3 linked regions of the Xenopus tropicalis genome follow. The protein of the gene in region 1 purifies or fractionates together with the protein of each later gene. This does not show direct contact. Links are inferred from orthologs where the notes say so. Each region holds a gene or a part of one and is shown on either strand. Other genes may lie near its edges.

Region 1 (11,398 bases):
AGTAGGACCCAATAAAGAACCCACTGCATATAAAAATGTTCACGTGTAAGAGTCGTAATATAATACATTGAAAATGTTATTATTTATTTAAACATAACATCAGAGGGGTGGTACCACTAAAATATAGGATGGTCTGTATGTATGTTGAAAAGTTCTGTATGATTATAAGCGAACACATCTGAAAGGTTTACATCTAGAACTAACAAAAATAGAAAACTGGGCACTGCTCTACTGTGAATAAGCACAGGTAATGTAATATAATTCAGTTTGTAGAAAGTTAATGATGTAATTTCATGTATAGCTAAATATTATCATAATCCTGTTCTTACTAGCGGTGCTACTGGAGTTCTGTGTTATGTGTTGGAAACAAGGAAAGGCAAGTGGTACTGAGGCTTTATGTATCCATGTTGGCTCCACCAAAGCACAATGTGAGTCTCATGAGGAGATGTTGTTTGGGGGGTGGTACCAAGACCATGCAGTGGGGTAGATGAGGTTACGGCAATTACTTTTTTTTTTCATTTGCAAGAGGTTTATATTTAGTATTACTGTCCCTGTTAGGATTTCATGTTAAAGGTTGTAAGCACCAAACTCTGCTTCTTTTAGTTCTGTTTTCTTTTTAAGAGTATAAGAGATAATGTTTTCAAGGCAGTTGTAATGCTCCAGCTGTTTTTGCCTATTTGATTTCAATTCACCTTGGCCTTGTACGGACAATGCATACTGCTACACAAATAGTCTAGGTGGGAATTGTGAATAAGATATTAGCACAGCAATAAACACATATCTTTATTTTGCTTGGCACTTCATGCTTTTGGGTTAACTTGTGATAGACCCTTTTATACCTCTGGATACCAACTGATGTTGGGCTGTATAAAATCACATTCGCACAGGCTACCTTATTTTAGTTTTTCTATTACACTAGCTTGTTTTGTGTCTAGATGTAGCAGTGTTGTATTTTTTGAAAAGTAATAAAATTATATGCCAGCGGCTCGTGCTAAAACACGGCAGCACAAATGTTTGTTTTTTTTTTAACAGCAGATTAATGGTTTATATTTTAAAGCAGATATTTTTTTTTAATGTATTGTTACAATACAGATTCTTCAGACAGACTGAAAAATAACAAATTATGAAAACGCTGCTGCTTGTCCATCAATTGCAAACTGTTTATGAATAAAAGACTACACTGTACTGGTATGTTTTCTTTGATTTGTTACTTTTCTCAGCAGTGGATCCAGACCCTGATACTTTAAATGTTGCAAAATCCACTGCCTCCTCCCCAAAGCATTGCAAAGTTGCCTGTTCATGGGCTTGCCAGATTTATGTTTGTGTGACTACAATGGCAGATTAATTTCTTGTGAGACAGGCAATTATGTACAGCAGATAATTGTCACAGTACTGACTGTGCCGGTGGGGTGCTGTTTGGGCTTCTGTGTACCTGGGGTCTATTTTGACTCTCGGTACCTGCTCTTCAATACCGTTATCACACTTGCCAAATTCTTCAAACAAGTTTATCTAATATCATATTTTATTAATGTTCATAGTTATAATACGTTTCAGTACATACTAGCACCTTACATACTCATCCTGACTGCATACAAATCAAACAAGGCAATTGGAAAGAGCCCTGTCTGTTTATCATGCCAAAGTACAAAAAAAATCTCCCATTTGTTACTTGTTCTTAACAATACTGTACTCCTATTACCAGGGTGTACTTATTTCAACTTGGGTCCATTTCTTTCTAGTATTTGTCTGTCCCCTATGTTTCTCCTTTGATGAAGAATTTCATCACTGTTCATAAACATTGCAAAATGTATGCATCAATTTGGGAGTTAATAAACAACTGTGTAGGAGTCTTGGAACTGGTCTTTCTGAGGGTGGTGTCTTCCTTTCAAAAGAACTCATACAGTCGGAAATCTGGTTTTTCCTGACCTGAATTTGTACACCCAAACAACAATGGTAATTTCCTCTGCAAATGTGCTCCTTGCCACTATCTCTTTGGTTCATTAGAGCTTGAAGACTATCTTGCATCATCTTAAGTGATTTATGTTGGCCTGAAAATGAATGAAGTGAGGCTTGGCATCACAGCTAGTATAAGTTTTGTTAGTTTAAACCTTCCTGTGGATGCATGCAAGTTAATGCTGCATATGGCCAACAACGCCTAAACTTGTACGTGTTGACTGTCTGACACATCTAATGATGTTTATTTGGGCAAACTTTGCTCCTGCTGAGTTTGCATCTTAGAATATTATTGAAGGTGAGTGCAATCTGAAAGAGACCCTGTAATATAAGGGTGATTCATTTATATCTATACATTATAACTCTGGGTGCAAGAGGTTTTTTTTTTCCAGCATAACTTACTGGCTCACACTGCAGAAACCAAGAATAGTTACAGTGAAGCAGTGTAGTTCTTATACAGTTGGCTACAGCTTAGTACATTTCATTGCACAAAACAAGTAACTTGACATGCTTGACAAAGGGGCTGTCTTAGCCTCGAAACATTGCATTTCCGCAATAAAGGATATTTTAAGGGCAAGTCCCGTATGTAGCTCTTGAGTGCCGTTGCTGCTTGCTTGGAGTCTGTGGGGAGGGTGCCGATCCCTCTCTAGCATTGTGCACCGAGCGGTGAATTTCTATTGGAGAGCTGACGGAGTGCGGGTTTAGGTTCGTTGTATAAACAAAACAAGTAACTGACATTGCTTGTGCCTTCCCTTGACTTCTTCTTGCAGCCTGCTTACTTACATCTGCCTTAACCCCAGTCTTCCATGCCAGTATCATCTTTAAGAATCTTCAGTAAGAATTCACCTGCCATATATGCCCCATCAATCATCCCATTTAAAATCACTGGTACAGAGCTCTATTTTTGTTTTGGACAGTATGACATACTCCAAGCATTTTTGAAAGCTCGTTGCTTAACCCAGAAACCTCAATTGTGTATAAGAACCTACCTTTTGATGCTTTGGATCCTTCATTTTCTGAAATACCCTTCCCCCAGACATGCCAGAAATGGATTATAAATACACTATTCCTAGACATGCCAATAAGATCACTACAGAAAATTAACTACATTAACCTGGAGGCAACTACACCAAAATCTTACATGACCTTCCTTTTTAAGACATGTGATACACAGCCAAGGTTTATGTACTTGATATCATACTTGCCAATATATCTGCTGTATTTTTTTTTTACCTACAAGAACCGCCTCACTTTGCTTGTTTTTATGGTCTTCACTATTTTTTCACTTCCTTCTTGCCGTCTGATCCCTTGGCATATCTGAAAAATTCTCCCCACTAACACTCTGGTGGTCAGTGAATTGAGTCCACACTGCTGTGGAAAAAAAATGCCCAGCTGTTAACTACACAGCGCAGCCTCTTTCATAAGCAGGAAAGGGCCTACTCGCGATCTCTGTAGTGCATACAGAGCCTTTCCTGCAGACGGAAGAGACTGCGAGCTGCACTGGCTTCCAATCTCCCAACGATTCAGCAGCACTCGCATTAACTTCAGAATCCTTCGCGGAGGGGTTTTATGCATGCGCGAAACGTAAGCCTTTACGAATCAAATTTATAAAGATTCGCAAACCAAATCTGAAGTAAATGGAACATGGATGTGACATGTAAATATCTATTCCCAGCGAAAGCTTCCGGCCGGTGGAAAATGGAACAGAGCAGTTTTACAGACTAGGAAATAGATCTTTCAGTATAGTTGGACTAAAATCTAGTGGGAAAAGGAACAGTAATAGAAACTAGACAATTTGGTCAGACATATCTAGTTCCTAGTTGGTAATAGAACAAAGCAGCTTTACAGATTAGGAAATAGATCATTCAGTATAGTTTTGCTAACATCTAGTGGGAAAAGGAACAGTAATAGAAACTAGATAATATGGTCAGATATATCTAGTTTCTAGTTGGTAATGGAACAGTGTACCTTTACATATAAGGAAATAGACTTTTTTTTATATAGTTGGACTATATTCTAGTTGGAAAATGTATAATCATAGGAAATATAAAATATAGTGCATGTAGGATAGATCCTACTTGTTTTCACACTGCGGCAAGTATGTGTGGTAAGTAAGTTAGTAGGGAGGTAGGTAGCCAGTCCGGTACCACAAAAACCTCACACATTCCCAGGTCCTGTTACTGAACAGTGCATGGAGCTGTTTGGAAGCATCACATTTCCATGGTAACAGCTGCTTCCGGTTACTGCAACAGTCGCAGACATCGCACATCTTTCAAACGCTCCAGGTGGCATCCCATCCAGGCCCGATCAGCCCGCCCCAAAGTATGGTCATGTGACAAGGAAAGTCCGTTCCTGGGCGCACACACACACACACCAGAATTATGCCTAAGCACACAAAAACCTGTCCCCTCAAAAAAAATTCAGCCATCCCCTAAAATTATGCAACACACCAAAAATGTAAGCAAATTCCAAAACTCATCCCTATAGCTCACACATTTGCAGCACATCCACCCACCTTCACCTGAAAATGTCAGAATACACAAAAAAAATAAAAAACCCACTTCAATAAAACAAAAATACACACACTTAAAAACTTAAGAGCATCTATTACACCAATAAATAAAACCACTTGACACATAACCCCTTATATTAAGGGCACACACACCATACAGAGACCAGCAAGTGTACATACAGCTATAGCCAGCAACAGCAAGTGCATCTTTTTTCCAAATGTACAGATAGATCCCACAAGGAAAAGTGAATACAGATTTTATTCTACACCTACAAAAGCGAATCATTTCAACTCAAAAGAGCTAAAAGCACTTCCTGCGTTCAGTGAAGTGTTCTTCTCCAGGCATCCACCAGTAACCACTAAGAGCTGGACTGTGTTCTGTTTATATAGCCAAGTGAAGAAGGCGCCTACTAGGCTCTAAATGTCCTAATAGAAAAAAAAAAGCCACCCCCAAAATTATCTAACTCTCCAAAACTCTTCCCCATAGCTCAGAATTGTGCAGCATGTCAACATAACCGAAAAAAAAATCAAAACCCCAAAAAAAAAACCAACAAAACGCACACCCCAAAACTCATCAGCACCCTTAAAGCAAGAAATACAAGCACTCCACATATAAGCAGGCTCCAACAACCCCCTAATATTAAGGGCACACTCCTTACAGAGAATAGCAAGTGTGTAAAAGATCCACAGCCTCCACTGAACAGCAAGAGCCCCAGTATTCAGGCAAGAACTGAATAAACTCCTGCATTTAATCCTATCCCAAGAAAACAAATAATGCTTCCCAGCGCAACCCAATACTCACTCAATAGCACGCTGTGCCACTACCTTTAACAAGCCATTCTCTCCATAGCATCCCCGAGTAACCACTGAGGAGCGAACTCACCCATAAGCTACTTATACAGGCGTTTGAAGAAGGCGCCGAATGTTACGTGTTGGAGACGTCGCCACGTCTTCACGTGTTTGTGATGTCACTCGCCATTAGCAACTAGGAACTAGCAGCTACCGTTACTCCCGGCGTCATGTCCGGCCTGAGTGGGAGGGTGCAGGCATCAGAGTCTCACTCCTCCTCAGTAGTGGAGGAGACAGGAGGACCGGGCGAAGTCAGTGGCTGCTGCTCCATCAGAGGCAGATAACATAATTTGTTTGGCTGACGTGGACGGAAAACTTCACCAATAAACTCCTAGCTGTTGCCCTGTCAACAGGAGGACCCCCATACTCCTCGGCAGCCAATAGCGACCAGGTGCTCTTACTCCGCTGAGGTGTTGGAAGAAGTCAGCCAATCGCTTGTTGGCTTTCATTGAAAATTAACACTCTGGCAAAAAGGTAACCAATCAGGGGCGGCAGTGGGGTGCACAAGAAGCTCTCACTCCGGTCGCTGGAGTATGAGTCAGCCAACCAGCTTTTGGGGTTCCCCACTCAGGCCAGTGTGGTGGAAGTAAGCGATGAGGACTTGGAGGTGACTCAGCCAATCACCAAGGCAACCGCCATTGCGCTGCTATCCATTCTCCCCTCCCACTTGTTCATTCCAGCCAATTGCTGCTCAGCTGTCAAGCTCTTATCACAAACTCCTGTTGTGAAAACAGGCAGCCAGGTGACTAAATCCCCCCCAGCTGTGGAGTTGTGTGACAAGCCAGCAGGAGAAGCCAAGAGAGAGCCCCATTCTTAGAGTGACTACTACACTACACTGCCAACTAGCTTTCCTCTATCTGCCTGCAAAAGCTCAGTGCCATTGGTTGTTGGTGGCTCAAAAGGGTCTTGTCTTTGGGGGCAGTAGGCCCCAGTGCTTAGGGTACTCCAGGAGACAAGAGGAACTCTTTGCCATCTCTTTTCTACTCCTCATTGGGAGCTACAGATTCGGTGAAGCGTCCATTGACCTCCATGAATGGAAATCGGAACCGCAGGTGAGGAATAGTTTGCTGTTCTGTTAACTCAACATTCTGTCAACAGCATTCTGCATTCTGGAACCTCTGGAATTGATTTGATAGTGTATAGTGGTAATGTCTAACTGTTGCAGAGGTAGCTGTGGAAAGATTAGCAGAGTGTAGTCCAACAGCTTGAGGAAAGTTAGACTTTTTTTTGGTGCTGCAACTATACCCCATTAGTCCCTGTCATTTCTCATTTTTTTCCTGCTAAATACACATCCAACAAAGGGGCATTGCTTGTTTTTCTCTTTTTTTTTCCAAAATGTATTGTTGCACTTAATCATTTGGCTATAGACTGTGTATTGAACTGTAGGTAGACTACAAAATGCTTCTTTGTTTAAACCCCATTGGAAGCATTGCAAATAAAAAACAAGTTGCCAAAGTGTTACCTGTGTTGGATAACTGACATAAATAAGTATTTCCTTTCCTTAACCATGATTGTCAGTAGTCCATTAATAGTCAACTTGGCACCATAATAACAAATATATAGTAGTTGTCTTGTGCCCTAGCGCTAGCAAAAGATTCACCACAGCTGTAAAAGTCTCCTGCTTCCACTTTCCTTTGCATTTATGCTGCTGATTGTTGAGAACAAAGTAATGCATCAAATAAGGCAGTGGTTCCCAGACTGTGGAGCTGATGCCACAAGGGAAGGGGGTGTTTCATGACCTGTATAAAAGCTCTTGGCCTTCAGCCTCATTCTTTTATATGTATGTATATATGGTCCTAAAACCTATAATATGCTTATATTACACATTTTTCACAACATATAATGCAGGAATGCTACTCCTCTTCACTGCCTTTCATCTGACAAAATTGTCAATAATCCAAGTCCAATAATCCTTAATCTACCATATGCCTGATCTAGCCGTTTAATACAGCTTTTCTGTCAACTGTACAATTGCTAATTAAGGGGTTCTCTCTATATTTGTACATATAATTGCTATTAAGTAGTATTTGACGGTTTGTATTCTCTGCACTCTTGGCCCTGACTCCTGAAAAGACCTTTGGGGACCTAATTTCAGTTACATTGTTTATTCCTTTATGTTTTCTGGGTCTGATTCTTAAAAACAAACACTGATTTAATGTTTAGTTAAGGTCCCCTTTACCACTTTCACTGGCAGTGTATTTGTTGTACTTCTATTGACGGTTTTTGAACATTTTGTGCTCCTTCATTTTAGGGGCCTTTACTGGGGGTACTTAAGTTTATAGGTTTTAAAATATGCTAGAATGTTGGTATAATTTCATTTCTGTAACAAGATATATCCTTCTAAATAGCTAAAAAATAAAAAAAAATCCATAATGTAAACACATATCAGAGACATCATTTATTTTATGCAAATAAATACAACTGATTTGGAAAGTACCATGTACTGAACATACCAATACCAAATATTTATAGTTTTATGGAGTTTCATGGATTTCTCACCCAAAACTTTCATTGGTACACTACCAAATTTCAAAGCACTGGTCCAGAAATCTGCATACTTCAGATTTCAAGGCCAAAAATTTGACTAACAGTAGGTTCACCCTAGAAAACCATGCATTTTTGGGAAGAACAAATTCTGATGAATCCAAAATTAGTAAATATGTCTCTTTACTCCAAACTACCAAGTTGCAGTGCTTTCCTAGAGTTATCAGTTTTTAATTTTTTTTAAAAAATTTCCTCAAAGCTTCCATTTGCAGAATCTTATCTCACACATGATGGCCAATGTGTATAGGTTTACCAAAGTATGTGGTATGTAGGGGCCCCAAGATGAAGACACTCCATATGGTCAATCATTTATGTCACTTCAGCTACTGTGAGAAGAGTAAAGCTACAAAAAAGTTTCGACCATAAAGCCAAATATTTTTGGAAAGTAGACATTCCCCCAAATCCAAAATGGGTACACACATATTTCTAATTCAAAGTACCAAACTGCAAAGCTTTATTAAAGCTGGCGGATTAGATATTATTTCAAAAAATCACCTCAAAGAATCTAATTTGTAGCATCTTATCTCCCACATATCATTAGATAAAACATCCTAAACATGAATGCATAGGTTTACCTAAGTATGTGGCATGTAGAGGCCCTAAGATGAAGATATATTTCCAGCTTCTTCAAAATCAACACATTTACATCATTTTATGTGGGGTAAAGCTAAAATAAAGTCAGTGTACCCTAGTAAAAAATGTTTTGGAAAATATTTTAAGATTTCCCCGAATCCAAATTGGGTACACATCTTTCTAATTCACAGTACCAAACCGCAAAGCTTTCCTAAAGTTGGCAATTTTCCTCAAAGCTTCTTCTGCGCAGCATCTTATCTCCCACGTATCATTATCATTAGGTACCAAGATAAAACTTCCTAAATTTGAACCTCAGGGGTCTACTCAACAGCTCTGATGCCCAATGTGTATAAGTTTATCTAAATACATGGCATGTTAGAGACCCCAAAATATATCTTGTGCATACTAATTTCATGGCTTACAAATTTACACTTTTTCATAAACGCACCACGAGTTTATTTGTGGCAAGAGCTGAAAAAAATTATGGTGATCCAGGAAAACAATATATTTTTGGAAAGTACATATTCTGGTGAATCCAAAATGGTTAAACAAAAATGTTGCAGTTTGCTACGTTAATCTCGTACATTTCTTACATACAAAAACAAATCACCCTAAATATGAACGCCAGAAGTCTATTGAAGAGTTTGATGCCCAATATGCATAGATATACCAAAGTATATATGTACAGACCCCAAATGAAAATGGTGCATATAAATGTTCATGCTTTTGCAAACAAAGCCCCAACTGCATATTATATACTGTAAGACCCCTAAATGTACAGAGATTCCCAGAAAACCATATATGTGATGAATCCAGCATGGGTAAAGGCACCTTTATACACCAAAGTAACAAACTTCAAGGCTATGCTAAAAAACACATAAGGAATAATAATTGTGCAAATCAATCAAATAGCAAAATGATTCAACGGTGTAATTAATGGTCAAAATGCCTGATCCAATAGTCACTCTGCCAAAAGACAAAAGGGTAAAATACATTTAAAAAATGAAGTAAAAAAAAAAAAAAGCTGAGGTTTGTATATACATGTGTGTACGCTTCTAAAAGTTGTGCGAATGTGTGTGTATGTGTTTATATAAGTGTGCAAAATAAAAAAGCAAACAAATTTACTAATCTTTACTAAAAGTTGTATGTAAGTGTATAACAAATGACCTCCTTTCGGCTAAAGCCAAAAAACACTACTCGCTACTAATACTTCTCGATCTCTCTGCTGCTTTTGACACTGTGGATCACCCTCTTCTCCTCCAGACTCTCCGCTCTCTTGGCCTTCGTGACACTGCCTTATCCTGGTTTTCATCTTATCTCTCAGATCGATCCTTCAGTGTCTCTTACAATGGGGAATCATCTTCTCCCTTGCCTCTTTCTGTCGGGGTTCCCCAAGGCTCTGTCCTGGGCCCCTTACTATTTTCTCTCTATACCTCCTCACTTGGCAAAATAATCAGTTCTTTTGGCTTTCAGTACCACCTCTATGCTGACGATACTCAGATCTATCTTTCCTCTCCTGATCTCAACCCAAAGCTTCTAACTCGCGTCTCTTCCTGCCTGTCCGCTATCTCCACTTGGATGTCCCAACGTTACCTTAAATTAAACCTCTCTAAAACTGAACTGGTTCTCTTTCCCCCATCCAACGCCCACATTGTTCCCGAGGTATCTATAACGGTTAACAATTCTGCCATCACCCCATCTTCCCAGGCCCGGTGCCTTGGGGTTATCCTTGATTCTGCCCTGTCCTTCACCCCTCATATCCAATCACTTATCAAATCATGTCACTTTCACCTAAGAAATATCTCCAAAATCCGATCATTTATCACCCAAGATGCTGCCAAAATTCTTATTCACTCTCTTATAATATCTCGCCTGGACTACTGTAACTCCCTATTAATTGGCCTTCCCCTCCAAAGACTGTCCCCACTCCAGTCCATTATGAATACTGCTGCCAGGCTCATACACCTCTCCAACCGCTCCTCCTCTGCCATCCCACTCTGCCAATCCCTGCACTGGCTTCCCCTACCATCCAGGATAAAATTCAAACTAATGACCCTCACATTTAAAGCAGTCCATAACTCTGCCCCACCCTACATCTCTGAACTCATCTCTAGATACCATCCAACCCACTTGTTACGCTCCTCTACTGACCTGCTCCTCAACTCCTCTCTCATTCCCTCCTCACACGCTCGCATTCAAGACTTTGCAAGGGCTGCCCCCCTTCTCTGGAATTCGCTCCCACAAACTGTCAGGCTTTCTCCCAATCTCTCTGCCTTCAAGAGATCTCTAAAAACACATTTATTCAGAGAAGCTTACCCTAATCTAGTTTAGCAACACCCTGTGCCACACCTCTCACAACTCTGGTCATGCCCATTCCCACACCTTGTGTCTCAACCCTTTCTCCTTGTAGATTGTAAGCTCTTTTGGGCAGGGCCCTCTTCACCTCTTGTATCGGTAACTGATTGCTTTATATGTTACTCTGTATGTCCAATTTATGTAACCCACTTATTGTACAGCGCTGCGGAATATGTTGGCGCTTTATAAATAATTGTTAATGTAATGTAATATATAAGTGTGTAAATAAAGGCCGCTTATGTTTGAAGCTGAAGGGAAAATCTTACAGCTGGAGGAGTCATGGAAACCTGTTTTTGCAGAGTGCTATGCAGCAGGAAGTCAATGGGCATTGCTAGGGGAAAGATGAAGGCAGGCAAAGCAGCAGAAGTGTGATCGCATAGGCTGGTGGAGGTCAGCCCTTCAACAACTGCATCGCAGAAACGACATGACAGCCCTAATAGCCTTGTTCCCTAGGGGGCTCTCATGGCTCCAGACTCTATGCAGAGGTGGAAAAGCCACTAATGCAGAGAGAAACCTTTATCTGCCCAAGAAGAAAGATACTACATGCTTGGTAGTTAGAGCATTATTTTACTGCAAGCATATAGTACCTACATGCTTGGCAGGTAAAGGATT
Region 2 (10,659 bases), on another chromosome or scaffold:
CAAGGAAGCAACCAAAAAGAATACCTTCTGACTGAGGAAACACGTCAGAGAGAATGCTGGGACAAAGGTAAGTAATTCTGGAGGCTGTTTAGAGTAATTTTACTCATAGAAAAAAAAAAGGTTTACTTATTCTTTAAAGTGTGGAACCGAAAAGTGTTTTCTTGACAGGCCTATTCAGAGTCGTAAATTATGACTAGTAAGAGCATAGTAAGTGCAACTGCTTGCTACAGAGGATGGTATGGCAACTTGTGCGTGGCTCACAAGCATTACCAACAGTCTTGACACACTTAAAGGGGTCAATCCCTTTTTGGATAGTGAAGGAAAATGTAATTCTAAGCAACTTTACACTATACAGTGATAAAAACACCAGCAGTTTAAATGTAATTTGTTTATCCCTTTCCTTTTGGTCTATTAAAACTATATAAAAGGAGTTAGGTCTCATCTGCATGCTGGCTTGCAACATAGTTGCAGGAGCCAAAGCCAGGAGAGCCAAGAACATAAAGAATCAGACAGATAATGCTTTCAATAACAATCACAAATAATGTTAAAAACATTGGGATTCTGTAATTAATGCATATTGGAAAGTTGCAAAGAATTACTGCACATTTTCTTTCACTATCCAAAAAGGGTTAACCCCTTTCTGAGACACTTGCGAGCCACAGAAAAGTTGCTATACCAGCCTCTTTAGGTCAGTTATACAAAAGGTATAATTAAAATCACAGCAGCCAAGATCTATGACACTGCTGAGACAGCTATAAAAAAAAGACATAGCTCCTGCTGTTACAGGGGACCTGTCACCCTAAAAAAATAATTCCAAATCCTTTTCGATTATGTTAGTTGAGCAAAATAAACTTTACTTACACTATATAAATTATTTAAATTTTGTTTCAGTCTTGGAATTCACAGTCACAGCATTGTTATTGAGGAAAGTTTTGTATAACCCCAAATCTTGTGTGTGCGTCAGAATAGGGGACCTAATGTCCATGCCCATTCCCAGGCTACACAATTATAGAGCGTGAGGAGTGCAGTGACATATCTAGAAAGAGCAGAAGTTAAAGTAACTGGCTGCTCCACGGGACAGGTAATATACGATTGACAACTCAGATTTTAAAATGCAAAACACTTATGACTTTTTAAGTGTGGGTTACAGGTTCCCTTTAAGCAGAACAATTAATGCTTTGCACAAAATTGGGCCTGCTCGATCCCCTTCAGAACAGTGAAATTACATTCTGCAATACATATTAGTAATTAAACAAGGCAAGGAATAAATTAAATACCAATTCTTAGGTCATATGGTTAATTCAAATAAGCTGAAAAACAAAACAGAAAAGCGATAGGAATGGAAGCACAGCTTGCCAGAGGGATGACACTGCTAACACAGTTCAGACTTCAGAGTTAAAGTACACTATACCTAGTAGCCATAATAGTGTAAATTTTATTTAACCAGTCTCTGACTCTTGCTTGGAAGCAATGTATAATTGGGAAGTCTTAATATCAGCTGTTTCACAATACAGGAGAGCCCCCATTATATGTTTACCAAGGGACCAGAAAAAATGGTGTAAAATCCAGAGACATGTAAAATCAAGGAAATGCATTGGTGGGGCCATAAAAAACATTGTGAACTTCAGGGGAAATTAAGTTATGTAAAATGGAGGTTTTATGGTAAAAGAATATAATCACTTGGTAAAACATACCTGAGGGAGCTGCCTTGTTTGCCAATGTCCCAGATATTCCTTGCTCCCGAGCCATCTGCCCAGGGCCTGCTTGAGCATTCTTGTCCCACAGGCTGACATTTTTGTAATTGTAATTGTTAGGATCCCCCCAAGCTGCTGTTCCGTCATCAATGTCCATTTTATGACCAATGGATTGTGAGGATGGTTCCTCCCAGCCACTTGGCTCTTCCTCCTTGGAAACAGTTGGCTGGGGACCACCCTTCCACCCTGAAGTTGGCTGTGACCTCCCATTTCCAGGTGGCGGGGGAGCCTGAGAGCCCCCCCAGGTGCTAGGAGTTGCTGAAGATGGCGTTGATTCCTGCTGTTTGTTCCAGGGTAGTTGGGGCCTAGCTGCCTCACCCCAGTTTCCTCCTCCCTGGGGCCTCTTAGTCTCCTCCCAGCCAGTTCGTGGAGCTGGATTTGAGTTTGCCCCATTACCCCAAGAACCCACATCATTTTGTCCAACTTCACCCCAGCCAGAGGAGGATTTGCTTCCTGAGCCTTCCCAGCCTCCAGGGGCCTTGGGAGGCTCCATGTCCTCACTACCATTTCCCCCCCAACCATTCTTTCCTGCTGACCAGCCACCTCCTGGATTAGACTGGCGAGTACTCCACCCAGGCTCCGCAGCCCCACCACTTTCATTGTTCCAACCTGGAACTGCCTTGTCCTCTGGTCGTGCTCCAACCACCCCACCACCTCCTCCACCAACCCAACCAGTTGGGCTGTTTTTATAGTCATTCCAGCCAGTTGCTTTGGTGTCCTTCCATTCTTGGGTTGAAGGTGCAGGGACAGGGGGCTCCCCCCAGCCTGACTTGTTTTGATTGCTTTGGCTGGGAGCATCCCCCCAACCCCCTGAGGTTTTGGCTTGGGACACGTTCTCCCAACCTTCAGTCCCACGGTCTGATTTGCCTTCAGTTCGAGAGGGCACTTCCTCACTCTCCCATGATGCATCTTGCTTGATCTGGGTTTGGCCCCAGCCAGAGTTGGACAGCACCCGGGGATCCAAATCAGTGCGATTCAGTAAAGTCTGAAGAGCAGCCTGACTGTCTGGGAGGGCAGGTCTGTGTGAACGTCGACTGCTGGAGTTCAGGCTGTCTCCGCTTCCTCCGCTCCCCCCTGCTTTAGCGTTGCTTCCAGTGCTTTGCCCCCCAGCTTCACTTCCTGCAGAGCTGGGGGCTCGGCCCCAGCAGGCTGCTGATGACGTGTTGCCCTGGTTATCCGATAGAGAGTGGCCCTTCTGATTGTCCCATGCTCCAGTGCTAGAGTTTCCTTGGTTCAAGCCTCCCCACTCTCCCACCTTTAAGTCCTCATGCCCGGCTGGCTGCTTCCATTCTCCCTGAGACGCCCCTCCAGCCCCCAATTTGTTCCCTTCACTCCATTTCACTTCACTGAGGTCTGCCTGCGGGCTGTAACCCCAAGAACCATTCCCACTTTTGCTTTCCCAAGATTCCCCCCTTGACCCATTGGGTCTATGAGATGAAGGCGCTTTCCTTGCGTCTTCTCTCTCTCGTCCATTGCTCCCAGAGTTGCTATGTCCACAATTAGCATCTCCTGTGGCAGACTGACCCCTTCCCGCTCCCCAAGAGCCAATCCCCCCATTCTTTCTTTCTCCAGTGCTTTGAGCAGGGGAGTCTGAACCCCGGCAGGAATCCATTGAGCCCACCCCAAAAGCTGTTCCCTTGTTATCAGGAGGGTTCAAAGTATTTGAGTTCGTAGAGTTAGTGTTTCCATTTTTTGGTCCGTCAGTGTGATGGGTTGTGGCAGACTCCCTGCCCGATCCTGCAAAGCTGGAACCTGCATTTTCCATCTTTGACTGCTGCTCCCGAGAGGTCAAACCCACTGGGCCGAGTTGTGCGCCAGAAAAGCTGCTGTCTGACTCTGGGTTCCCTTTCCTGTTGCCTTCCTGGACAAGGGCAGGCCAAGCAGATGGGTTAGTATTTGGATTAAAGTTGCTGAAACCAGAGGCAGAACCTGCTCTCTCTGACCCACCCCCATTTCTCCAGTTTCCCAGTCTATTTACACCCTCTGAAGCAGGGTTGGAAGACGGGACGGGCTTAGCCTTGGGGTCAGATTTCCAGACGCCCTGGATACATTCACTACCAGGCTGCTGCTGCTGTTGCTGCTGGCCCTGGCCCCCTCGCCCTTTGTGGCTAGTGGTGCTTCCTTGTGGGGGTCCCTTCTCCGAGGCTGAGTTCGAGGCACTGTTGTTGTCTGTGGCGTTGTCGGAAGGGGGCTCTGCGTCCACGCCGGCTATGCAAGGCCACTCTTCCATGTCCGACCCGTCTACAATCACTTTGTCCCAGGCGTGGGGAGGGTTTGTGGTGGGGCCGCTGCTGGTGGGGCCTCCTGAGCCCCAAGTGGAATTTGCATAATTTGAAGTAGCAGCTGCCCCCGATGATGAGTCTGCAGTTTTAGAGAAAGAGAACATTAGTCTTTAGATAATTTATTTAATTTATTAAGGACATCCAGTAGCACTAAAAACTAATAAGATAAAAATGTTAGGAGTTAGAAATCAGCAAACCATGTATACAGAGTTGGGTATTACTAATACTAATTACTAATACATGAACACATATCTTCTATCTAGTGTCATTCTTTTCTTAAAACCACTAAAAGCAACTGAAATTTATGCCACAAAGGAACTGGAAAACTTTGATTACAAAAAACAAGTATGTAAACATTTTTTAAAAAATATAGAAAGTAGCCCTAACCAAGTACAAATTATTTGAATAACATATTGCACCCAGGTCAAAAGATGCGTTGTCGGAGAGTACTAGAAAGTGACCTTATAAGGTAGGGGTTTTCACAGACAAATGTTTGGTTTGGAGGACCTCTTGCTCATAATGAGGAAAGATATCTGTATTCATATTCAGCTATATATATATATATATATATATATATATATATATATATATGAAGAACATAAGCACTTTTGAAGGTCTGCCCACTAACAGCATAGGTAATACTCTCCGTGATGTGTAGGCTAATGCTAAAAAGAAAACAAAGATTGTGAGGGGAGTAGAAGTGGGTAGTTCATGTTTATTAGTTGGTAATGTTCTCTAAATGTTACAGCTGTAATTCTGTGAATTTACAGATGTTTATTCAAAAGAGTGATTTATTGCAAGATGCCCCTGAAGAGGCCTCAAGATGTGAATGAGATTCCTAATGTCTGAAAAGCAACTCCAGAACAACACGTACACTGCTAAGTGACCGCAGAAAGGAGTCATTGTGCTTCAGAAGCAGCACAACCACATACAGATCAGGCTGCAATGCAGTCTTTCAGTCATCCTAGGTGTTCAAGCAGCAGCAACATTACCTAATGTGACAACAACTAAGAGGATCGATATAGCCATTAGCAGAATTTTCAGATTTCTGTAGAGGGATATTTATGAAGACCCCATTAGCACCCATACCAACCTGTTGAAGCCCCGCTTTCCCCTGGCAGCAGTGTCCCCGCCCCTGGCTGTGCGTTGCCTGGGCCGGCCCCTGGAGCAGTGGTTGAGGGGGGAGTCCCTGCTCCTCCCCCCGGCAGCATACAGGACGCTGGAGGAGGCTGTCCACGCTTCAGTAACACTTTGTGGTCCTGCTGGCAGCGGAATCGCGGCGGCACCTCCCGAGGCATATAGCGGGCGGTGCTGGGCGGTTGTCCGTTCGGCACTGCCACCCTTTTGGCATTGTTGCCACCATTGACTGGTGGCGAGGGGGAGCTGCCAGGTAGGCTGGCGGCCGTCGCTTGGCTTGAACTTGGTTTCGTCACTTCGGGCACTAAAGAAACACAAAGCTTAAATGAGGCTGCAGCAATAATCAGCCAATAAATCAGGTCTGCTCCTCTATAGAGTTAGACTGCATTGGATTTCCTCATCAATTAGCCATTACATTGATTTAATTGGCTTTCAAGGTCCTTAATTGAAAGGGAAGGGAGATAATCACAACCTAAGCAGTAGTAAGTATATGTAAATAAAATCATTTCTGGTTTAATATGAGCTAAGAACTAAGAGCTGTTTACATTTTTTTCCACTATGGCACCATGTATTATAGCGCATACACAATAATAAAATAGGAAGGAATACTGCAAACATATTAAAAACATATGTACTGTTGCTAGGCAATATGTTAGAGGATGAATAAATTCCACCTTAGTAGCTGGTTATAAAAAGAAAAAAAAAAAAAAAAAAAGATTATTTCTACTGGCTATCGTCTATGTATCAGAATGTATAACTTTACACATACAATGCAAAAGTTAATATGTATAACCAAGCATTAATGGTGAAAGCGGACCCCCCCCCCCAACCCCAATCCCAATCTGCATCTTCCTCCGCTTATTTTCATGTGCACATTAGTAGCACACATATGTTGCTCAGCAACTTACCTTTGGTTTTTTGTTCTGTGACCTGTGTGAAAAAAAAAGAAAATGAACAGAAACATTAGCAATCCATACAATATCCTACGGTACCCTCCTATGCTTGTAGTATGATATAAATGTGTAAAATGATATGAATAAAAGAATACTTGAAATCAAATTAAATTAAGAAACTAGAAATTATAGAACAATACATATCCCTAAAAGAATTCTAAGAACTTATCTTTGATGAAAAAATGTCTTGGGTCTGAAAGATACTCGATATAGAACTGAAGTAATTTAAACTTTACATTGCACTTATGTAGAGTTTTAAATGGCCTCTGTACTGGGGACAGAATCCAACCCACAATCATTGGAGGCACACATTTCATTTACTTAAACTGGGGATATGCTCAACACCCTAGAAGCTACAGGCCAATATCACTTACTAACATGATCATTTAGCCCTTGGCGATATTGGTCTCCACCAGACTATAAAGCACTGTACCAAGAATTATCTGACTAGTCTTGGATAGAGACAACACCAACAAGCTAATTAGTCTTTAGTAATTTTTTTTGTTTTTAAAATAAACTTAGTGGCCCAGTTAATGTTATCAAAATGGCAATTCAGCGTTAACTGAACATAAATATTTACCTGGAGGCACCATGGGGCACATCTAATTATTACATGCTTAGAAACACAGAAAACAGATATTTTAAAAAAACTATTATGGATTATGAAGTTATTAAGAAGGAAAGATTGAACTGAACTTTTAACTGCCCCTATAATTATGCTTTGGTGAAGTTAAAAAAATGGTAGGTTGATAAAATCTCTACCATAAGAAAAATTACAAGTTTCAAGAACAATGTACGTGTCTTCCTTAGTCATGCTAGATTATAAATATTCTTACTCTTAAAAAGGACAGCCCCAAATTCTGTCTGCCATATTAGCCTTTAATGAATCTGTGTGTGCACTGATAATCAGGGCATTTCTAGCTGAATCTTCTGGAAACATTCCTGCTTTCCACATAATCTGGTAACTTTACTTTATAAGAAAGGAAAACAAAAGGTATGCAGACTATTGGAAAACACCCCTGAATGCTTCCTATGTTGTAAGTGCAGAGTGCTGGATAGGCAGTTCTGTTAATACAAGCTGAATAGATATCCACTGCAGGCATAATTTCTCTAACCTGCTTTTTTAAGGTGGGGGCGGGAAGAGAGAATTCAGTTGCTGGGTTTAGGACTACACATATATAATCCCATGCAAACTTCCATCACATACTACTCATTGTGCTACCAGATTGGCAATGATCTTTTCCTAGCAAAAGCTTATAACGAAGTATTATGGTAGTTTGACAGAAACCAAAAGGAATAGGAAGACCCTTCAGTGGTTTTTCTAGTCCTTGCTTTATGCATAATTAAGACATTTAGGGATCCCTAAACAGGTACTGTAACCCTAAATGCTGGTTCTCCACAGACACCATCACAATGTAATAAGTAACTTGGTAGCCTGTAAAGAAAAAAAAAGAAAACTAATCTAGAGTTATGAGGACTGCCGTGCTAAACGCAAAGCTGCAATCTTGAAACTAGGAATATTAGAAGGTGAATGATTCTAGAATATTTAGACAAGACATTTGGGTTTAAGACCTTCTCTGAGGTCTATAATAACTAGTCATAACTTCTTCCTAATGAAATTAAAGACTTGTGAAATCATTGCCTATAACTGTGATATACAGTTCAGAGAGTAAAAATTTAACATGCACCTCAAGTCTCTACTTCAGGGGCACAAAAGTTACTAAGGGCCCAGGGCAGCTGCCTATATTTGTCACCTACGAAGCTAGCAAGACGTCCACCTTGGCATTATTCTAAAGGCTTTCTGCTGCTCACCATCCACAACTAAATGTGAAATCTTGGGGATTCCATGAATAGCAGACAAAACTCTCTATGTGCCACAGGTCTTATGGCAATTTCGCACAAAAAATATTTCAGTCATTAAATCGCTGCATAAATAAGGCATAAAAACATTGCCCATACATTCACAGATTTGTTTTTTTTTAATTTATTTTAATCAAGTGACGGCTGGCAGTTTAGAAAAAAGTTTCAGATCATGAAGCAATGATATAATTAGGGAAGTTCCCCTTCTAAAGATGACCATACACACACAAATAAAATTGTATAAACAAAGATTTGATGCATCTGCTGATGCAGCATATTGACCAGCGTATTGGCAGATGAGAAGGTGAAGAGAAGCTGCAACAAAAAATGAACAATATGACTCCATATGGCTCCTGATAGCATAAAATAATCCCCATAAATCCCCAAAGCTTCATACAATATGTAGTCAGTAGAACTTGTGCAAATGCATTGTTTCTACAGAAGTACTCAGGCTGGTGCAGTTTCTACTAAACAGAAGCACTAGCTCAGAGTCTCAGGTAAGCAATTAAAATCAACATTAAAAAAAAGACCATAAACCATATCTACACCTTTCCTTTTAAATAATTAGGCCGACTACATTTTCAGTACTAAACCTATTTACCTGAGCCATACTTGCATAGCTGCATAAACCACATTTAAGAAAGGACTAAAGCAAGGACAAGTCAGAGGAACCTACCTTCTGAGCAGCTTCTTTCTTCTTTTTATCCTCTTTCTTCCTTTTCTTGTCTTCCATTAACTGTTCTTCCCTTTCTTGCTCCTTCTCTCTAGGATAACAAAAAGTACTATGTTTTTGCAAGGCTATAAATCTCATGGTCGACAATTCATAGACTTTCCTTCCAGCTGCATTAATTTAGTTCTTTATAAGCTTCCTATTTATTTTGTAGAGCAGTGATTTTTTTTAGTCTGTACAGAAACACAAACCAGACTCAAACCTGTCTGGAGAAATGCTAGGATTTCTATACGTTCTTGCTCTGGTATTATATCCTTTCACCTGAAGTAAGAAAACAGCAAGTACATAGTTTCTCCATTCACAGTCTTCACTCAAACACAATATTTTATAAATACTAAAAGGTATAACAGTATTCTTAATAAAAAAAACAAACAAACAGCTTTTCCTACACACAGAAGCTAAAATTAGACTGTATTTGCAGATGTGTTCAGCTTCCATACAACACTAAACTGGCCATACACAGCCAGATCGATTCTTTGGCAAGGCTACCAAACAAGTGGGTCGGCCCCCAGTATGGCCATTCATGTGCTGGGCAAAGCCGGGCTGATCCAGTCGTTGCTCTAGGGCCATGGATTAGATCATCCAGTGGGGCCTACAGTAAGTCCGATGAGGTGGCATTATTGCATCAATCAGCTCCTTGTCCGACAGGATTTTCCAACCCAGATATTGGCTGGGCAGGCACCATGACAAGCTCCACCACTGCCTCTCCAAACATAGTTTATTTATTGGCCAGTGTCGGCATTTTTGCCGGCACTTGTATGGACACCTTTACTCCAGTGGCTGTATTTGTTGAGTGTATTTTACCTTCAGGTAGAGAGAAGCTGAAACATCAACCTCCACAGTGTCTCTCCAGCATCAGCCTATGGGCAGACACACAAAATCGACATTGGCAAAAAATATACATGCCCCGGGGGCCTGTCAGCGCAGAGACACGGCAGAGGGGAGTGCATGTACTTCTCTCTGCCTGCCTTTTCCCTGCACAGCCTTGTGTGATATTAGCCTTACAGACGATAACTAGTAATGAAGAAACAGCTATCAAGCACAATGGCTATTCAATTGCTCATTGGCTGGAACACGGCAACACTGACAAGGATGGCTGCGGCTCACTGAGCACTGTGAATAGAGAAAAAGCTGGCAGGAATTTCAACCACACATTATGGCCTTGATCGCTACTGTTTGTGAGGAACACAGGCTACAAATGAAACCAAGGTCATTCTCTTGGTCAGATCCTGTTAAAAACAGCCAAACCCATGAACACATACGCAGGTTTCATAGAAAAAACACTCACAGTAGGTTTTAAATAAAAAAAAGTAAACATATTGCCAAGCAACTTTCCAATAATCATTCATTAACACTTCTAATGATTTTAAACTTATTTATAAAGGTAATTGCAACTGAAAGCAGCGTCTGTTTGGCCCTTTTCCATTCCCGCCTTTGACTCTTAAAACAATGTAGCAGATGTTAGGTTATTTAGTCAGTTGCTTGTGCTACATTGTTTCAGGAGTCAGATTTACATTTTCTTAAAGGTTTTAGTTCCCCTTTTGTGTGGTAAACTCCTGAGTACATTGATATTTTTTTCTTTAAACTGTGGTTATTTTTACTCTATCTTTGCACCAGGCTGTGCCCAGATACTGGAATGCATTCCACCTACTGGAATATTATAGAGAGATCCTGCTGTGCAACCAATCAGATTGTATCAGTAGTTTTGTCATTTGAAGTAGAATAGTGAACAAAAATTGCTGATTAGTAAATAAAGTAGAACACCCTTATTCAGGTTGCCAGTATATGAACGTAGTTTTCCTTGTTAAATTTACTTCATTCTGCCATTACAAATGCTATGCTCCGGGGTCTAAAGTTATATTAAACTGATGTCTAATATAATGCAGATTTAAACAGCTATTCCGTTTTCTAAATCATTTTCTTTTTAAACATGCAAATCTGGA
Region 3 (10,659 bases), on another chromosome or scaffold:
GCTGCGAGCACATAATTCTAGTCTGGGGAAATGTCAGAGTGGCAGAGCCGCCCAGAGGTTCCGCCAGTGAAGGTTATAATCTAAATGGAAGTCGCTGTAGTGTGACAAATGCAGTTAAGTCTGCATCAAGAAGGAGATTTAAATGCATGAGGTGAGGCGCGCGGGGGTGTGCGGGGGGCAGCGCTGACAGCACCACTTCTATCATCTGCCTAGAGGGGAATTATATTTTGCTTGGAAATAAAGCAGCTTAGCTCAGTAACCGTTATATATCTGTAACCCTGTTGCTGTGTTTGTGTTGGGCTGCTTGGCCAGCGCCTGTGTCTTTATACCATTGACCTGACTGCTAAACTGCTGACAACATAATGACTACATTCCGTTTGCCTTCATTGGGTGCCTGAGTGACCAAAGTGCTGGCAAAGGGGCTTCGTCCACAATTCACAGCTGAGGTACAAGTCTTCCTTGAAGGAAATGTAACCTGCTGTTATATGTGGCAAATGTACGTCTGTATAGTAACATGGCGCAGCTTTACGGCACTGCACAAAGAGTGCCCGACTTACCGGGCTTGCCAGGACTGGGGTCAAGTGGAGAAGCAGCATTTGTCAGACTGTCCATGGCGTTGGGGTGAGTCCATTGTGGCAGACGAGACTGGGACTGAGATGAATCCTTCACTGACAAACTGCCTGCCATGTCCATGTTGTTTACATTCATGCCGGGGTTCAGTCCAGCCACTGCAGAGAGATGAGGGGTTACTGGAAGCTAAAGGCTAAAGTCACACCCAAGTTTACCCTGCAATCACATGAGCCCCACAGTGAAGACTGCATGGCAGATTGGGGGTGGCAGTCAGTGAGCAAAATCCTGTCCATTATGTCTAATGGAATCCTGTAGTTCCCCACAGCTGGAAACAGTCAGTACTTCCACTTGCAGCCCCCTGTTTGATTTATTGCTATGCTGGCCCACCCTGATAACGTGCCTGCAGATTGTTAAGGAGGTGCAGCCATGGGGACTCTTTACGTGCTGCCATGCCTTTAACAACGTAAAGCGGGAAAAGACCCCTAATGAGTACACGCATGTTCTCCACCAGCTCTTTCACTGGGGCGTAATGGCTGCCAGTACATGTATTTACTAATGCTGCACTCTCACCAAGTGGGTATGGGGGGAAGGTGCTGGATGAAGACTGCTGCTCTTTGGTGTGAAGGTCGGACAGGCCAGGGGCCGGGGTATGGGATGAGAAAGTGTCCAGCGCAGACTTGCCTGCTGGGGGGTGCAAAGGAGCGTGTTGAGGGGGAGGCTGCTGCTGCTGCTTCATGAGCAGGGCCTGGGCCAGCTGCCGTTGGTGTTGCTGGATCTGCTGCTGCATGTTATTGATTGTGCGTGCAACCTGCAAAGGGCACAATACACACGTCATATGGAAATCATGGGAAACACATAATAAGAACAGTGTGTTGCTATCTATCTAACTCTTGTTACTGTAACTATAGAGGAGGCAGACTCTGGGGGTCCCAGGAGGCATAAGGGGCCTTGTGGAGAACTGACTGACATTATGGAAGTAGGATTTAGGTACCATTCCTGCATAAAGGATAGAAGGATGTTATCTTACACACGTTACAACTCCCTGCACCCCACTCATTGTTGCCCAATAACAGCTGCCCGAGCTTTCCCAGAGTGGTTTTCCTGCTATTGCTCGTGAGGTTCCATGGGGCTACGCTGGGATGGGAGCTGGCTTTTAGATGCCTTTTAGCATTCAATGACACTTGCAGAGGTGTGAAAAGCAATGCTGAGCGGATTCCACTTACTTGCTGCTCCTGCTGTCTCATGGGTCCGGAAACATTGCGCTGAGCCTGTAACATCTGCTGCTGGAGTTGTAAACGCTGATACGCCTGCAGGTAAAATGAGGGACAGGTCACCCCGGTGGAAATGTTCCAAGCCAGAGGAGCGCAGAGCACGGGAGCTGCGGCAGTCCCTTACGTAGCAATAGACTTAATGGAGGATGACAAGATTACTCATTCTATTTCATTGGCAGTCCATGAGTATGGGATATCTAATGCTCAGCTGAATGCAACACACAGGTCAGAGCTGTGTAACGCCATCTCTAATTGCCCGTGTCTGTACTACAGAGGCTACTTGGTACTTACCAGCTGCAGCTGGTAGAGCTGGTTCAGCATGGTCATATGCTGAGGATTAATTGGCGAAGTTAATAGTGCAGGGTTGAGACCAATGTTTTTTGCTGCAAACTGCAAAAGCTGTGCTTGAACCTAAAACGATAAGAGAAACCAGAGAGTGTTATTCCAGCTGCAATAACAAGGCTGCTAGATAAAGAGCACCCCCTGTACCTCACAAATATGGCTACCAGGAAACAATAGGATGACCTGTAGTATGCCAGCAAGCAGTCTGTTTTAGCAAGTGGTAATTAAAAGGTGACCCAAAATGGCGGATATGGGACAAGGCAGTTACTGCTTGTAGGTCTATTTATATACAGTAATGGTGTCCATACACAGGTGGATTTGGGCACTTCAGACCGAGTCGTTAGCTTATCTGTCCATGTGTGGGGCCCTCCGACGGACCTCCCTGACTGATATCTGGGCGAAAATCTGCCAGATGTCAGTCAGGCAGGTTTGATTTCCCATCGGACTGAGGAAGGTATCGATGTGATCCTTGCCCTGACAACTGTATCCTGTGGTTGTGACCAGATTGCTTGGACCTAGGGCCAAACAAACAGATATCTCCCACCTTACCAGGCATATGGGGGAAAGATCCACTTGTTTGGTGACCTCGCCACAAGGGCAGATCTTATAATGTATGGCAAGCATTAAACTTCCTATGTTCATGTAAACCAAACACTTACTATCACCCACTATTGTCTTCTGTAAATCTCCAGTCAGGGTAGAAACAATGAAAATGTGGTATTTGGATACATCTGTAGAATGAGCTACTGTACTTGGGGTGACTGAATGCTTTGGCCCACCTTACAATACACAGCACATCATGCTACACACATATTCAGTAACAAACGCACCTGAGGGGATAAGAACTGAGGCACTTGAGCACGAAGACTAGGCTGGGATGAGTTGAGAGGTTGCACTGGTGGCTGCTGCTGCTGCTGCATGGACCTGGCTTGTGCTGCTCCACTATTGCCAAACATACCCAGATTGCCACTCTGCATCTGTACCAACATGGAGACAGTGAGTAAAAGCGCATATTAAGGAACAATGGTAGAGAGTATTTAGAATTGGGAAGATAAGCAACGCGGTGCCTTAGAGAGAATAATGATTAAAACAACAATACAGCACAAATTCTTAGGCTCCAGTGACTTAGTATGGCTTCTCTGCTCCCTAATGCGGCCAAAGACAGATATATATATATATAGCATAATGCCCCGTGCATTGGGATAGTACTTAGATCCCTTGCCACACACTAAAGATTGCAGGTTGGTACCCTTCTTGAACAAACACCTGTCTTACCTGTCTAGTGGAATTCAAGTTCTGCATGCCAAGCCCTGCTGTCATGGCACCCAGGGCCTGATTAGGGAGTGCACTGTTTGGATGGGGGAGTTTCAGGCTTGGTGAAGGCAAAAATGGTGAAGAAGTGGGCTCTTCCGCTAGGCCGCCATCCTGATTGGAGAGGGAGATGGTGAGCTGTTGGCAGGATCCAGAGAGAAGGCACAGAGAGGCATGTGGGGAGAGAGGGAGGAGAGCTGTTAGGGTACGGAGCCCAGTCAGAGCCAATCAATACAATATAAGCAAGGGCAGGGCAATAGCAGGGTCTGTATCCCTCATGTACCCAACGAGATCCAAAGCTTCTGAGGGGTTAAAAGCTTTGCTGACATTTAAGCAGAGACAAGCACATGGTTCATATGTCTGCTGCTCTCGCTCAGCTGTTCTGTCAATATCCCACTAATCCTTCCCTTCCCCCCCCAGCCCAGTCTGTGCAGGGCAGCAGCGGGCAAAGCCTGAATAGATCGGGGGCCAATAAGTCACCTCTGAGCTTTATACAAACTCCTAAATACTCTGAGCCCCCAGCACCTCATGTAAAGCAAAGACCCCTTGGCTAACCTTGTGCATGTAGACATTCGGTCATTCGGCAAAGGTAAATGTCAGCATTAGGATAACAGTTACAGAATGAAAGCTCCAACACTCCCTGTGCCACTGCACCAATAACCTAGCAGGATTTCCCATGGCCCACAAACACAACCCCTTCCCCATAGAATGGAAATACAAGTATTCTATACTGCTGGGCTGAACCTCCAACCAATCAGTGGCTGTCGATGACTGGGGGGGCCAGTCTGTACCCAATCATTACCAGCTATCAGTTGGTGACATCCCAGCTATTCTGCTAAATACACACACTGACACGGCTGGCACATTCATACACAATCGCTCCATTGGTTCCAAAAAGAACCACTTGTTACCTTGTCAAGAAAAGTGGGGCGGTCCATGGAAGACTCTTTGGAGATTGGTGGTTGGCGGCAGCTCAGGGGCTTGGTGACCATCACATTATAGTCTGCCAATCCCAATCCACGCTTGTCTATTTCCACCTTCTTTTCCAGGAGAGCGCCTGCAGGAAAGGCAAAACATATAGAAATTCTCCTTCTGACTTGTAAAGCTTGAAAATGGGGGTCACTGACCCCAGCATCTACAAAACAAATGCTCCGAAAGGCTAATTTTGATTTCTATCATATTACATTATGTGAGTATAAAGGGTAATGCAAAATATAGTATAGTGCCCCATTAAACTCCCCCTGGGGTAAAGTCATAGGGGCAGGATGAGATTCAATTTGGGATGCAGTTCCACCACCTCACTGCTGTTATGAGCTCTGTACTAAAGGAAAACAAATCCTCCATGTGTAATGGCTTGGCCGGACAAGAGAGTACTACTGGCTGGCACATACCCTACACCAGTGACTGGGACACTTACTCATGGCCTGGTCCAGATTCATATTGTTACTTTTCAAGGCCTCTTCAGCAGGCTCTTTCTGTAAAGAGGGATAAAGGTTTTTAGAAAGGATGAGAAACCTTAAACATTTTCTTAACTACCACTCCCTGCAATATTAGCCCCCTAACTACCACTCCCAGCAACGTTAGCCCCCTAACTACCACTCCCAGCAATGTAAGCCCCCTAATTACCACTCCCAGCAACATCAGCCCCTTAACTACCACTCCCAGCAACTTCAGCCCCCTAACTACCACTCCCAGCAACGTTAGCCCACTAACTACCACTCCCAGCAACGTTAGCCCCCTAACTACCACTCCCAGCAACGTTAGCCCCCTAACTACCACTCCCAGCAATGTTAGCCCCTAATTACCACTCCCAGCAACATCAGCCCCTTAACTACCACTCCCAGCAACTTCAGCCCCCTAACTACCACTCCCAGCAACGTTAGCCCCCTAACTACCACTCCCAGCAACTTCAGCCCCTTAACTACCACTCCTAGCAACGTTAGCCCCCTAACTACCACTCCCAGCAACGTTAGCCCCCTAACTACCACTCCTAGCAACGTTAGCCCCCTAACTACCACTCCCAGCAACGTTAGCCCCCTAACTACCACTCCCAGCAACGTCAGCCCCCCCACCACACAAATCTATAGCTCACAAGGAGTAATGATAACTGCTTGCCTAAAAGAACCAGCCAGCAGAAATGTCATAGACATGGGTCAAAATATCCATTACCAGCCCCTTCCCGTGACATCATCGTGCCTTACTATACACCCTATCCCAGAGTTACCACCCCCCCTAAACCCAGCCTGCCTTATTATGCACATTCCCACGGCTGACAAAGTACACGGAATAGCCCCGTGTCAGATAAAGCATTGCTCTGCATTTCAAGCCGTTTCTGGCGACACGCACCGGGAAGCCCATATCAGTGAGCTGTTTAGTCAGTCGGGACATGATCCAGACCTCGTCGGACTTGCTTGGAGTCTTTATGACCTGTGCAAATAGAGCAATTACACAATGATGACAGCCCACAGCAAAGCAGAGCTTGGGATGGCTGCCAGGGCATTGCTTTGGCAAAAGGCAGCTTAATCATTTTTCTAAGGAAAAAGAAAAATTCCATCAAGATGGCGTATAGAACTCGGAGCTCTTAGGCCCCCAGTTGCAAGCCCCACTGCATGTAGAAAGCAGGGCAAACTGTATACAAATGGAGTGTTGCCGCGGCCATTATGGCAGATATGGAGTTAATACCGTGCCAGCTATTACCCTGCAGGCTGCCCCTTACCTTGGAAAGTCCTTTTTTGGGGCCGTTGCCCCACGAGTTGCAGGAGGAGTTACTGTCTTGAGAAGCAGCATTGTTCCACATGTCTCCCTCATCTTCCTCCCACTGGCTGCCCAGGCCGGCCTCCTCTCCACTACTACCCCAGCCTTCTTGCATAGATTTGGGAGCTGCAGAAAAGAAAAGATGGTGGATTTCTAAGCAATGAGTTTCCATACAAGGTACATTTCTGTCTGTCAGGCTTCTGAAAGGCATGACTAAACAATCCCAGCACAGGAACTGAACCGTGGGGCCCTGTATATCTCTGCTTCCGTCCCTGCTGCGGGCCTGGCAGTGAATAAGTACAACATAACCTGGGCGCCCCACCTGGTTTGCACAGCATGGGGGCAGCAGCAGCAGCAGGAGCGCTTGTCCTTCCATATGTTCCGGGAGGTTCCGCAGAGCCGTCCCCCCAACCTGAAGTGCTGTTTTTGGGCTTCCCCCATGCCGAAGTGCCTTTGTCGACAGCAGCAGACGGGGATGGGGGCTCTCCCCAAGAGGCTTCAGTCTTTGAGTTAACATTAGGCAAATCTCCCCAGCCTGCAAAATAGAAGCACTGTCACTCTGTAACCAATCCTAGCCATCCTTATATAGTTAGCCTCACTCATCATTGCCTGCAAATCATATCCAACTGCTGAACTACATCCTGATCCCAGGCCTGTCGGTAGTGCCCATACACGGACCGATTCTAGCTGCCGATATCGGCAGCCATAGACCGATTTGGCAGCTAATCGGCCCGTGTATGGGCACTACCGACAGGCCTGCCCGACCGATATCTGGCCTGAAATCTCGATCGGGCAGGTTAGAAAATCTAGTCGGATCGGGGACCCCATCGGCTCGTTGGTGCAGTCCCTGGACCGACTTTGCCTATACCCGTTGTGAAATAGCCTAAATTCCCCCGTAGGTGGGGGATATCGGGAGAAGATCCGATATCCCCCAAGCAAGCGGTCTGAAGGTGTATGGGCACCTTTAGGCAGTGCACCGGATGCTGAGAGCTGCAGTTAAATAAACAGCTGAAGTGCTTACAAGATGGAGAGCCCTCATACTCAATGCTAATAACCAGATATTTATTAGTAAAGAATACTTGGTTGCTATGGGTTACTAGACCTGGTTTAAACCTTTTTGCCCATTACTACATGATCCCTCTAACTTCTATAAAGTAGATGTGAGGTGTCAGGTAGACAATACCCTAGAGAGGATTTAAAGATCCCTAAGGATTCTGGGGTACCAAGGGTGGGTCTCTGCTAAGACTGATGTTAAATGTGGCCTCTGGCATTGACGAAAACGTGATCTCGTGGGCACGGACTTCCTTACCATGTTTATTATTCAACTCCAATTTTAGACAGCTTTAATAGGACACCTAAGCCGCTAAGAACAAAGAGGCAGCATGTGAATAAGGAGATCTACCTGAGTCTAATCCTGCCGGCGCTTTCCCAGCCCCGAGGTGACATTGATAGGGTGCCCACTACTGCGCTTCTGTAGGAACTGGGGGAGATTAACCCTTTGCAGACAGAGTGTACTTGGAGTAGACTGTATGAGTTAGCACCAGAATGAGCAGAAAGGCAATGGATGCCGAGCCTAAAGCCTAAGCACTACCAACGCTGGCCAACCTGCCACCCTCTTGTATATTCAGTATAAGTATAAGTCTGGCAGTTGTAGTTCAGCAACAGCTTGAGTCTGAAGCATGCAGAAACACAACGAGAGCAGAATATGCTTAAGAATTAGTTCCACTCCATACACAAGTGGTTATGGCCAACCTACCTGGACCGAGCAGTGGGGATCGGTTCTGCTGGGCACTTGGCTGATGAGTTGGCTGAGGTTCAACCATATTGGTATTTGGAGGGGTGCTGGGAGTGGCGGCGGAGTTGGTGTTTGTTGCAGGGATGCTCTGAGATACCGGATTATTCCTATCCCACATGTTTACAGTTTTAATATAATTGCTCGGGTCACCCCAAGCTGAGGTACCATCGTCTATTTCCATCTTACGGCGTATAGACGGCGGAGAAGGCTCTTGCCAGCCGGTGGAATCAGCTCCAGCATCCTTTTGTTTGGTTGGTGGTGTTGCTGGCACCGGTCCACCAATCCACACAGATCCATTCTGTTTTACAGATGCTGCTCCTCCCCACCCACTCACATTGTTCTCTTGGGGTTTATTGGCCCAGTTTTGCTGCTGAGGAGCTTTCATGGGCTCCCCCCAGCCTGTACCGGAATTATTCTTGGTGTTTGTGCCATTTCCCCACCCGCTGGTCCCAGGCCGCGAGTTCTCGTTCCACCCAGATCCAGGCTTACTGTCGGAGTCCCACCCTGTCCCGTTTTTCTTTCCGTCGGTAATGTGTTGAGGAACAGGGGGCCCGTCGGTCCAGTCTCCGCCCGTAGAACTCCAGCTTGGATTTGATTTTTGCCCGTCGGCCCACCCTTGGGGTTTGGACTTGTGAGGCTCACTCCAGGTGGGCGACTTGTCCTCCTGATTAGCGGACGCGCTCCAAGCGTGACCACTTTTGGCAGCAGCATTGACAACAGTAGAGCTTGCGTGTTCCCCCCACCCCCCTGGACCATTTGGCGTTTTTTCTCCCCAGCTTGCACTTACAGGGGCAGACACAGGTTGGGTGTTCATCCACCCCGATACTGAAGAGGTATTGGTACTGTTCATGATGGACCCTTCACTCTTTCCCCCTGAGTTTGAAGGCTGAGTATTTGAACCCCCCCAGGCCTCCGTCCCAACATTTTTATGATCGGGACGCTGAAATTCTTCCAATTCCCATGCAATATTCTGTCTGACGGGGACCTGTCCCCAGCCGGTATTGGAAAGGACTCTCGGGTCAAGATCTTGTCTTGGCATCTGCTCTGCCATCCCAGGGTCTCCCTGCTGACCATCTCCTCCCTTCCCTTCATTGGCATTCCCAGCGCCGGTGCATCTGTCGTTGGCTGCAGTGACAGATGCAACCGCTTTGGCCCTAGAATTCATTTGCTCACCTCCCTGCTGGGTGCTCTGCATGCCAACGCTGGGGCTGTCCCACCCTGTGGGTCCTTTTCCATTCATGTCATTGCTGGAATGCTGGTTTGGGACCTTACCCCACTCACCGTTCACACCGTTACTTGTGCTATGTCCAGTATGACCCCATGGTCCGGGATGCATGCCTCCTACGCTGCCTCTGCCTCTCCCCCAAGGCAGCACCCCGGGGCTACTAGGTGGTCCTGAATCCCATGCACTCATTCCACTGCCATCTTTCTGAACTGCGCAGCCATTTTGTTTAGAGCTGCCATCTCCTCCTTCCTGACTGAACCCTGAACCGCAGCTTCCTACAGACGGGCCGCCCTGCGATAACCCCCACACCGAGCTGCCCGTGCCGTCACCTCCCGCCCCGCTGACTTGAGAAACTGAACCATTAGCACCAGGAAGGCCTTGCAGGTGGGGTGGGATGATGCCCCCCATTCCGACAGCCATCCCCCAGTTTGGCAGTCCATTTGTCTGCATTGCATTAATAAGGTTTGGTGAAGAATTCATGGGGTTAGTGTTATTTGGTCCATCAGTGTTAAGGTTCTGAGGTTGTACGCTGAAAGACACATTCTGAGAATTGGACGTTTGTGGTTCTGTGCTCTCTTGTGACTGCAGGTTCCTCCAGGCACCTAAACTACCAGCTGCGTTTCCATTCTGGTTGCCCATGTTCTGTCCAATGGCACCGACTGGACTTGAAATGCTGGAAGGACTGCCGCCTCCCAAAGTCCCTTCATGTCCAAGTACAGGCCAGGCAGCTGGGTTGGCATTCGGGTTAAGGTTAAGATTAATGCCAGTATTTGGGTTGGAAGCGCCCCAGCAGTTATGACTCCTGCTCTCCCCAATCATGTTGTCCACCTTGCCATCCCCACCACCAATAGGGCAGTGAGCAATGCCAGAGCTGGAGCCTGGAGCGACACCCCAAACTCTGGCTAAGTTCCCATTACCATTTGCCCCACCAGCTCCAAGGGCACTCTGGTTAGAAGTGCTTTGGATGAGTGCTCCATTGGCGCCATTATTGCCATTTGTTTTCTTTGTATGTCCAGTGAAGTTGCCTTGGGCACTAGTAGCCATGCTACTTTTCTCTGAGCCACAGTTGGAGGCAGAGTCAGTGTCTGTAGTACATTCTGAGGCAGATTCACTCTCAGTTCCAGTAATGGAAGGCCACGCTTCCTTGTCAGTCCTGTCTATTATCACTTTATCCCAGCTACAAGTGGCTTCACCTCGGAGAGACGGCTGCAGTCCCCAGTGGGAATTCTCATAATGGTCTCCCAAACCACTGTGACTGAGATCTGCCAGGGGGAAAGAAAAGGCACATGTTAGTCAGCTGAATGCTTCAATACTATGCCCCCCCCAGTCCCCGTAGTGCTGGGCACCCTATACACATACTAAGTGCCTCTACCTCTACTGCCTTGTAATAT

The links. Proteins that work in one complex are often made in the same cells at the same time.
Region 2: the proteins of ago3 (region 1) and tnrc6b purify together in Homo sapiens (affinity purification with mass spectrometry; 6 studies listed by BioGRID and IntAct, with this or other methods). This does not show direct contact. The link is inferred for Xenopus tropicalis from reciprocal best matches to the Homo sapiens genes AGO3 and TNRC6B.
Region 3: the proteins of ago3 (region 1) and tnrc6c purify together in Homo sapiens (affinity purification with mass spectrometry; 3 studies listed by BioGRID and IntAct, with this or other methods). This does not show direct contact. The link is inferred for Xenopus tropicalis from reciprocal best matches to the Homo sapiens genes AGO3 and TNRC6C.

What each region holds. Positions count from the first base shown.
Region 1 is NC_030678.2:81,756,852-81,768,249, reverse strand, and holds the start of ago3 (protein argonaute-3), read left to right. Parts: upstream 1-5,401; 5' UTR 5,402-6,347; coding exon 6,348-6,366; intron 6,367-11,398.
Region 2 is NC_030680.2:121,695,607-121,706,265, reverse strand, and holds part of tnrc6b (trinucleotide repeat-containing gene 6B protein), read right to left. Parts: intron 8,751-10,659; coding exon 8,663-8,750; intron 6,104-8,662; coding exon 6,082-6,103; intron 5,478-6,081; coding exon 5,130-5,477; intron 4,116-5,129; coding exon 1,695-4,115; intron 1-1,694.
Region 3 is NC_030686.2:45,703,036-45,713,694, forward strand, and holds part of tnrc6c (trinucleotide repeat-containing gene 6C protein), read right to left. Parts: intron 10,531-10,659; coding exon 8,005-10,530; intron 6,784-8,004; coding exon 6,571-6,783; intron 6,375-6,570; coding exon 6,211-6,374; intron 5,922-6,210; coding exon 5,841-5,921; intron 4,970-5,840; coding exon 4,912-4,969; intron 4,552-4,911; coding exon 4,406-4,551; intron 3,633-4,405; coding exon 3,459-3,632; intron 3,161-3,458; coding exon 3,014-3,160; intron 2,253-3,013; coding exon 2,133-2,252; intron 1,878-2,132; coding exon 1,794-1,877; intron 1,379-1,793; coding exon 1,141-1,378; intron 729-1,140; coding exon 558-728; intron 1-557. UniProt on the Homo sapiens protein: Plays a role in RNA-mediated gene silencing by micro-RNAs (miRNAs). Required for miRNA-dependent translational repression of complementary mRNAs by argonaute family proteins.